Linked DNA regions of Caenorhabditis elegans. The protein of the gene in region 1 purifies or fractionates together with the protein of each later gene. This does not show direct contact. Each region holds a gene or a part of one and is shown in the gene's direction. Other genes may lie near its edges. The genes, in order: T28B8.4 and C15F1.2.

The links.
Region 2: the proteins of T28B8.4 (region 1) and C15F1.2 fractionate together in Caenorhabditis elegans (co-fractionation; one large-scale study listed by BioGRID). This does not show direct contact.

The regions. Positions count from the first base shown.
Region 1 is NC_003279.8:8,158,549-8,163,489, forward strand, and holds the start of T28B8.4 (Proteasome activator complex subunit 4), read left to right. Parts: upstream 1-1,919; 5' UTR 1,920-1,963; coding exon 1,964-1,972; intron 1,973-1,978; exon of another isoform or gene 1,979-2,056; intron 2,057-2,091; coding exon 2,092-2,207; intron 2,208-2,306; coding exon 2,307-2,838; intron 2,839-3,031; coding exon 3,032-3,141; intron 3,142-3,225; coding exon 3,226-3,411; intron 3,412-3,457; coding exon 3,458-3,716; intron 3,717-3,973; coding exon 3,974-4,041; intron 4,042-4,094; coding exon 4,095-4,740; intron 4,741-4,786; coding exon 4,787-4,941. Other genes in the region: T28B8.3 (DUF3437 domain-containing protein), read left to right, coding at 1-427, 544-690, 742-993, 1,053-1,184.
Region 2 is NC_003280.10:6,977,919-6,983,191, forward strand, and holds the start of C15F1.2 (uncharacterized protein), read left to right. Parts: upstream 1-2,034; 5' UTR 2,035-2,087; coding exon 2,088-2,147; intron 2,148-2,295; coding exon 2,296-2,478; intron 2,479-2,533; coding exon 2,534-2,614; intron 2,615-2,768; coding exon 2,769-2,917; intron 2,918-5,273.

The DNA.
Region 1 (4,941 bases):
TCTCAAGTTTATGGAGGATCAGAAGATAATAAGAGCTTCACTGTCTCATTTAGATCTCAACCCGCCAACCGGAAAAATGAGTCGTAGAAGAAGTTCAGCAATTGATTTAGAGGATATAAAAGTAAGTGGAATGGATACAATTTATACACGGATGCATAATAATTTCCAGTCAATGACATATTTCCGTGTCCTTCTTCAAACGATTACTCAACATTATGGTTCTTCAACTAAAAGTTGGTCACCAATTCTTGTTAAGTTACTTCCAAAACTAATGGAATATGCCAATGAAGATGACTATGATCTGTCAGAAGAAACATATCGTGACGTGGATATTACTCAGAACTCTGCCCTGATTATTCATGACTACATGTCAGTTTCTTGGATTAGTCATATGTTTTTGGATGAAATCTTGAAAGCATTGGGAACGGTACGTTTTGTTACAGTTGGGACGCAATTTGTGCAACTCGTAGTCTCTGTATTGTTCAGGATTAAATTAAAATATTTCGGGAAAATTCCGATTTTAAATTGTAACATGTTTTTCAGACATTTCACTCGAATTCGTGGCATGTTAGACTGGCTGTCATCAAGTTTGTTCAAGCAGCTGTCTACTCGAATATTTTCCCGATGAGCCAACAATCAAGACGAGATGATATTGAAAAACTTCTGTTCCGTGCAGTTTATGATCGCGAGGTGAGAAAAACGTTTGAAAAATGCAAAGAGTTCAATGATTTACTATTTTAGATCTCGGTTCGAAAGGAGGCTGCGAAATGTCTTCTACTATTTATTCATTGCTCATATATTCAATTTTCGGATCAAAAAATTGATAAACTCGCGAATATTCTTCAATCAGAAACGGAACTAGAAGCACGTGCTCATGGTGCATCATTAGCTCTTGGAGCATTTGTACTGGCCTTCCCATTTTTCCTGCCAACTAACATCATAAAGCCATTGAGTCTTCTGAGCTCGTCGAGTTCAAATCAAGCAGTTGTGAAAGTGAGAGAGTTCACTAAAAACCTTGAATTTTCTGAACTTACATAACAAAGTACTTTCAGAAAACGATGACGGAAACAGTGCGAGAGTTCCGCCGTCAACACCGTGATGATTGGGAGGAAACAAAAAAAATATTGGGAGACGCACTGACGTTTGACATTGAAAACACAACTGCCCCGGCGTATTATGCATGAGAATAGAAATGATGTAACGACCGTATGATCTCGATTTTATTGAAAAAATGAATTATTTTTGAGAAATTGAATAATGGCACAAAGCAACAACAACAATAAACACCGCCGCCCGACCCAAAACCATCAAACGCCAAAATGCCGACACCTTGAACATAAATATTACCAACGTGACATTGAACCTCATACCGTATTTCCTCTATTAGTTAGGCACCTCTATTAGTTTTGCACTTCCATTAGTTTTGCATCTAAAATCACTCATCGAAATTTAGTTTTGTACTCTCTTTTAGTTTTGCACCTCTAATAGTTTTGCAACCCTTCATTTGTTCCCTAATTTTAGGAATTCAAAATTTGCATTATAAAATCGTTCTAATAATTAGGAAAACTCTTACAGACTTGGTATAACTAGTCAAAATTGGCAAAATATGAGAACAACTCGGACAATTGTTGCCTATCAGTCGTAAAATTCGTCCATTTTGGTTCATAAGTTGTTATTGAAATTGATGATATTATGTCATAATTTAAGGGAAAACATGAGAAAAAACCTGTTCGAAAATTAGTTTTGCACCCTCTATTAGTTTTGCACCTCCATTAGTTTTGCATCAAATTAGGTGTCCGGAAATTAGTTTTGCATGCCTTATTAATAGAGGAAATACGGTATGTTATTTTTGACCTTTTCCTTTTCATTAAACTCTGACGTGCTTTTTCTGTAAAAATAAATATTAGTCATTTTTCAATATTTCAACAATTTATCCGCGGTTTTATTGCACTGTTTTCGGGCAATGGTAAAGGTGAGTAAATTATATATATATATATATATATATATATATATATATATATATATATATATATATATATATATATATATATGTTTTTTTAATCTTTTACAATCTTTTGTTGAACATTTCAGGTTAGAGACAATCCAGAGCCGGTCTCTGTGAATGCTGGAGATAATTTGAAAAAATTGATGGCGAAAGATTATGTGAGACCATCGAAGCAGTCAATTTTCTTGCCATATTTTGAAGAGTAAGTTGAATTTGTCGACGAACTGATACGCGTCACAGGGGTATTGTCAACGTGTTTTAGTTGCTTTGTAACCAAATAATTCAAGAAAACTATTTTCAGACTTGAATCAGAAGTTGACACAAACTTCGATGACATTGTCAATGGCATGATGGCTGGATTTTTGACTGAGAATACGATTGAAATTGAACAATACAGAGAAATGTTCCAAACTCACATTCGACAGTTTGGACTTCGAATGTCTAGAGAAAAATTTCTGAATCTCGTTCGATTATTTTACGAAGTATTGATTAAAGAACATCAACATCACGATATGATTAGAAGTGCTTGTGGTGCATTTGTTGAAATGATGAATCTTGTGAAACCAGGAACGTTTGGATGGAGGGACCTTACATTGAATTGGTGTCCACTTTATCAACTTTACAATCAAGTAGTTCATAATAAGATTAAGCCGGATATAGCTCTTTATTGTAATCAATCAATCAATTATTTTGCCATGTTCTATGATCCATCAGAACATCAAGCAATATGGGAAAAGCTTATACAAGAAATTTCAATTGGAAATCAGGCTCAGACCGAAATGTTCATTGGATTCTGTTGGATGTTTCTCTCGACTTGTGGAATGACAGAAGAGGTGAGTTTGCGGGCGAAAAATATAATAGAACTTTAAACGAATTTATGGGCGGAGCATAGATAGTCCAATATGGTTGTTTTCGTGCCGCTCGTTTCATTGTGCTTAAAAAGGCATTATACGAAAATTGCGAATTATCGAATAGAATTTTCCATTTCACTTTAAAAAAGAGTCACAAAATATGTCAACTTTTCAGGATATCAAAAAGTATGCGGTAAACACGTGGATCAAGGAATTATGGGAAATGTATCTGAAAGCTGAAATGAATACATCATGGACTGCTTACTGTCTTGATTATATTCTTGAGTGAGTTATCAGATTATGAAACGTTGCACTTTTCTATCAATCATTTTTTAACCTCTGTAGTGTCTTTCATGTCTTTATGTTCAGAATGAGCATGTCCGCACCGGGAGCATTCGATTTGAGTCCTTACTACGATGTGCTGTACACAAAAATGATTCGTGGTCTCAACTTGACTGTACGAGAAGGAAAATTGGAGGTTGGTGATGGACAAGAGAACGGCTCTTCTGCTCATTTGGCAGCTCTATGTGCATATACGATTGGTGGTCCGAACTCGTAAGATTTGTCTGCTATTAAAAGTTTCAAGTTTAAAAACATTTAGGTCACTCGCTCATTTCCAACGTCTAATGCGATATATTTCATTTAACGTTCATCCACTGAACTTTGGCGATCACACGAATCAAATTAGCTGTTTTCTTGTATACTTCATGTCATCTATTAAAGAACGATTGAATACGGAGCGCTTGAGTTGGAAGAAAAGAAATTGTTCAAAGGAGTATTATTTGAAAGACTCTGATATTGATGAAATCACCGAGTCGGTTACAGATCTTGCCATTATGCTCATGTTTAACGACCAAAATGTGAGTCTTTTGATTTTCAGGCATTCACTCTGAAATAAGATCAACAATTTGAAATGTTTGAAACTGTAGAAAATCCGGGCTTGTAAAAATTTTGCAAAAATAGGCTCCTAATGGACGTACCTAAGAAATCCCAAATTTAAAAGGGTTATGCATTTATGTCTGCCTCATCATAACTGAAAATCAGAATGTACTGCACAAGCACAGAACATGCTCTTTGTTTGTAGTTTGATTATTCTATCGATCGATTTATTTTCCAGGATTATAAGCTGATCAAACTTCTAACAACTGTTAATCGCGAATACGTGGCTCCAAAGTTACTCAATCAGTAAGTATAACGGTACTCTATTTGAAACATGTCCAGTAAGTATATTATTTCAGTCTTTATTCCTCCCTCACCGCAGTTAGTGAACCTCATCGATTGACAACTCTTATTGAAGCATTCACTTTTTTTGTTTATGAGATTATTCGTACACCAGATGCAGAGTACCGTACTCCACGTAATATAGTCTATGACTCAAAATGGTTGATTTATATGGAAGAAGAGCGAAAATCATGGCCAACTTTTCATCTTGGTAGCGAAGTTCCGATGGTTAAAACCCATAAATTCACAAGTCTCCGTGCTCATGCATTTTACATTTTGGAGATTTTTGTGAATCAGATCAATGTAAATGATGTGGATCGAACAAAATTTGTGCTCAAGACTTTGGAAATCTTGTTCTCATCTTTTCCATTAATGGATTTCTCAGCAGCTATTAAATTTCATGAAGAAAAAATGTCGAATGACGATCGATTGATATGCCTTCTATCAAAACGTGTACCATCTCTTGTTGAGCATACTCTTGAGAAGCTTCTCGAAGTGATCACTTGCTTGTCAGTCGAAGCACCCAACACTTCCGATTCAACTGGCGGAGTTAGTTTATCATTGGAATATCAGAAGCATGGCGATGATGAGATGGCTTTGACAGGTGGAATCAGCAGTTTGGTTCGAGTTGTCTTTGATCGAGTTGATGATAAGATGAGAAAGGTAGATTATAAAAATGTTTTCTTTGTGAAACTCTGTATATTTTTAGCGTCTATTCGACCGACTTTTGGTTTATATTTCTACATCTGAATTCACAAGCTATCTGGCAACAGAGACTCTATCAATGTTGATAAGCAGTGCCGTTTGGACATGTGGAAAAGAATTCCGACGCTATGCTGAATTCATTCTGAAAAAGTTGAAACT
Region 2 (5,273 bases), on another chromosome or scaffold:
AATATGAATTGCCGCTGAAACTTGTCGGAGACTCGGCCATGGCCTAGAAACCTTTTTGTCTCGTCCCTCGTTCGAAAAAAGTCGCAGTGCAAAGTTCGATGAGAGGAGTTGATTGAATAATTTTCTTCATATCTTCAATCCATCGAAAATTGATCTAGACTTTCATTTCCGGAATAGGAAACTCGATGAGTCGCGATTGGAAATATTGAAGGAATGCCTAGAAGGCCTAAGAATCTCAGAAATCACGATTGAATTAGATAATCAAATGCAGAATACGATTACTATCATCAATGTTGTGTGTGTGTGTGTGTTGTTGATTGCCTTATTCTGGAAGGAGAAATATATCTGCCATTGAGCTCCGCACAATTATTAGCTCAACGTCGAATTCTGCCCCGGAATTTCAGAGAACTCAAATTACTTATCGGAATTCCATTGAATGATCTGTTGCTTACAAGTTGCTCATCCCTTCACACATACAATTCACTTTCAACTGATAAGGATATAAATTTGTTTCTAAGACATTGGACGGCCGGTCTGAAACCAGAACTTGAATTTCTTACAATTTTAAATATACATGCGAGAATAAAATTAAGCATACTTTTTTCGGTGGCATCGACATTCACTTTTCTCAAGGAATGAATGCAACCATGATTTTTGTAGATGATGCTGACTGGGCAGTAATTTATGTTGCAGTTCATGGTTCAAGATATATTTCTTTTGAATAACTGTTTTTTTATTCAAATAAATCAATTTCCTGTGACTTTGTTAAACCACTCTTTTGGGTAGATGCACATCGATATTTATATGATTTTATTTGAAAACGAATTAGTTGAAATTTTGTTAAAGCTAAACAACTTCTCCGCGATTGAAGACTGCCACAATAAAAATGAAATCATTTTCAACCCAGTTCGGGAAATATGACTAAAAACCGTCCTAATTGCAATATGTGAACTGTATAAATTCATATTGACTTCTCCTTCTTCCCCCATTTTCCTTCTGCCAGTTTTTTGAATATCCGTTCATTTCGAAATTGGTGTCAATTCGCATCCGCATCAAATTGGAGCGGGCGATAACGACGGCTCGTAAATAAGCGTATGTAATATTCGCTCGTATTAAACAGTTTTTTCGGTTCTCGTCATCCTTACCTTTCAATTGTATGTCTCGTGTCGTCTCGGATGGATAAGCTGTTTTCTCATCTCTCTCTCTCTCTTTTTTTTGTTAAAGAGGTCGACACATTGGTATCTTCTCGGAATGAAAAAATCCCCAGGAGGGTCATTTTCTCTTCTCTCTCTCCATTTTTGTCGGGTATTAAGCAAATCGACCTTCACCCACAAAAATGAACAGTTGGGTGCATTATCCGGTCCGAAACGAAGCGAAACCATCTTATCGCTATTTTTTCTTCTTTTTTATTTTTGGTTGTATGACTTTCATATTAACCATGTTATTGGAAACTGTGTATACCAAAAAAGCTTTAGTTTTGGTTTTATATAAGTTTATATATATGTATACATTGTTTTTTATAACTGCTCAATCTCAACTATGACAATGTACATCTTGTTTAAAAAAAATGGTTTTATCAAAAAGTGTTGCTTGTCAGAAACATAAGTAGAATTCTATTTTTTTAAACAGTTGTGCAAAATTCCGAGTTCCAAATTCCAAATTCCGCGCAAAACGTACATTTAAGGGCAAGTTTTTTTTTGTTTTCTTTCTCGAACATTTTTCTGGTAGACTTTTCACTTCCATTAATAATTTTTCAATTTGGCAAATTCGAAGATTGGCAAAGAGCTAATTGTCGCCTATTATAAAATTGAAAATTGTCTACGACCTTCACGCACCTACATCCTCCCCCATTTCTCACTTTCACACGCTTCGATTATTCCGATTCATGTTCCGATCCATTGAGACCCAATTGATATAAATCAAAGTGAGAGCAATACTTTCATTCTCGATGACATTTTCTCACTTTTCACAGTTTTTCCTACAAGAAACCTTTTCACTTTTGTTCCTTTCTCTACTCCCAATCTTTTCTTTCAGTGGCCCTATAATCCTTTCGCAGACATCCAGAGTCTTCAGTCAATCGTTTCTAAATGCGGATTTTTCTTTTCTTTCTTCTAGTTTTGTTTCAATCGATTTTTGCACAATATGAGGTGAGATATGTTTATATATATTTATATATTTTCGAAAATATTTTACGATCAGTCTAATTAATTTTCCAATAGAGTATTATTGACTTTTAAATGCTAAATCTTTTGATTTAGTTTCATAAATCAATTCCTCATTCCCTTAAAATTTCAGTCACCAGATCCATCATCTCCTGCTCCATCATCAAATTATTGTGCTGCTTTCGTAGAATGTGCAGCAGTATCCCTTCTTGAAGAACGTCTTTGTTTAGGAAATTCTCTATGGAGACCTTATTGGCTTCCAGAAAGAAGGGATACTTATGACTGCCATCATAAACTTAAAAATGATTATAATACTGTAAGTTACTGGAACTTTTAAATCTAGGGTCATCTGAACTTCTCAATAATTTCAGTTGGAACGGTTAGAAGAAGAGCTTGACGGTCAGCTGATTGCATGTTTAAACGAAAATGTTCAACCACTTGACAAGAAAACGGTGAGAAAACGGGAAAAAGGGGTGGAAGGGAAGAAAGCGGAGACAATGACCCTAATCGACTTGATCTACAGATATTAAGATTGGGAAGAAAAAGTCTCGGGATTGTCTATGACTCATTAAAAAGGAATTATGGGATAATAAACTAAAGTTTCAGAATGAGCAATGTCAAATTCTGGGTCGTCCTGCAAGATTCTCTTTCAGTAGAACTATCACGTATGTTCCAAATCATTGTTTCACTGGAGTGAAACGAAGAATTGAAAGACAATGTGGAGAAGTAGCAAAGTGTTGTCCGAGTATTGAAAAGTAAGTTATTTATTTGAAGATTTATTTAAGATTTACACACGGCTTATTCAAAGTCTACTTTGCACGCAAAATGCAGATAAATGAGCAGCGTCATCCATATCTTTGAATCATTCCTTTATTTTGAAAGTTAAGCAAAAGTTGATTACAGAATGTTTACTTATATTTTAGAAAACTGAAAACCCGGTATTTATGAATATCCTATGTTCATTTCTGATAATTTATTTTTTGAAAAGAGCTGAAATTGAAGCATGAACCTTATTTTTATTCTCACGTGAATAAAACCGTATTCTTTGTCTAAAAACTGTTGAAAACTAGTTGCTTTTAAGCAAATAATAAATGTCACGTGATAATGAAAATTAGATTCATCTTTTAATTTCAGGTCATTTAAAACAAAAATTCATGGAAAATGAACATGAAATTCGTAAATAACGTGTTTTCAGCATTCTAAAAACATATTTTTCGACCCCAATATCCCAATTTCATTTTTTGGTCATTTTCCGAAAGGCAAACATCCGATTTCATTTTTCGGAGCGGAGGACGATTTTGGAGATTAACAGGATTTTTTGAAAGATTTTTTAGGACTTTGTAGAGACCTCAAAAAAGTGATCATTTTCCCAAATTTCAAGTCGATACGTTGGATATGAAGAGTTTTATGAGCGAAATTGGATTTTTTCGAAGAACGGTCTGTAACTTGGCTGAACATGAAAATATGAAAAAACTTATAATTGAGAAAATTTGGAGAAATATTTTTCACTTACTATCCATTAAAATTTTCCTTCTGAAATTTAATGAATGCAGGGTTATGACTGGTACGGCAGAACAGTTTTCAAAATTTTGTGCGATTTTTGGTAAAATGGCTTTGACTCTGTGTAACTCAGCAAATAATTGTCACTTTGCAATGAAAAATAATGCAAAAGGAAGACAAAATATTTGGCAAACACTCTTTGACTACCTTTGCTCTTTGACTACCTTTTGCTCTTTGACTACCTTAGATCTTTGACTACCTTTCGGCTCTTTGACTACCTTTTGCTCTTTGACTATCTTAGATCTTTGAATACCTTTCGGATCTTTGACTACCTTTTGCTCATTGACTACCCTTCGGCTCATTGACTACCTTTGCTCATTGACTACCTTTACCTAATTTTTCAGAATTCTCAGTTTTTTTTCGCTGAAAAATCAGATTTGTCAATAACATTTTACTTTTTGATGTCTAAGAAGGTCGTGCTCTTTCTCATTTCCTAAAATTCCGGAAAAAAATGGAGATGAGATCTGATGTATAAATGCTCTTTGACTACCTCTATCTAATAAAATTTTCCAAAATTTATTTTTTTGAAAACTTTTCAAAATTTGATCAGATATTATAGAAAAGTGCAATTTTTGTCGTTTTTCTAGTTTGGATGTTCTGCACACTATTGCAGACGAAAACCTGAGGCATAGTAGAACCCCTAAGCTCAAAAAACGCACTCACTTCGGATGCTGATATCTCCGTGGAAAAAAAATTTATGGCAAAGTGATTAACTACAAAGTTATATATCTTAATCTAAAGTACAACTTTGTAGTTGATTGTTTTTTATCAAAAAATTTGTTGGTCGAGATAAAGTTGTGTAAAGTTTGGCACCTTCATGCTTGTATTTTCTTCTTCTTTTTCTGTTCATATCTCATCCAACCAATTTTTTGATAAAAAACGATCAACTGCAAAATTGTACTTTATGTTAAGATAAACAACTTTGTAGTTGATCACTTTGTCATAAAACATTATTACACGGAGATATCAGCATCCGAAGTGAGTGCGTTTTTTGAATTCTGAGGTTCTACTATACCTCAGGTTTTAGTCTGAATTCGTGTTCAGAACATCTAAACTAGATAAAAAACAAACATTGCATTTTTCTATAACATCTGATCAAATTTTGAAAAGTTTTCAAAAAAAGTTTTCAAAAAAAAATTTAGAAAATTTTTCTAAGGGGTACCCTTTGGATTTTTTTTCATAAATCGAAAAAAAAACATTGAAACCTAAAAAAACCAAATGTTTTTGACACTATCGCCAACAACATTTCAGTTGGACACATTTTATTGCAAAATCTCATTGCCAACTATCCTATGCTGAAACCTTTGAAATATGCTTATGCTGACGTTTTGAATATGCGTATGCTGACAAGAGCTCTCAAGAGAATTTCGTGATCCAAAAAACACATTGAAAGCTTATATCAGGACACTTACCGATGTAAAAGAAAACCGAACCTATCCAGATTTGAACCAGCAATGACTGTATCTGAAGACCGTGCGCTTAACCACTACACCAAAAGGGCAAGAGGTGCGCGCGTTCTCGAGGAATATATGAAATCAGTCGAGCTGTATG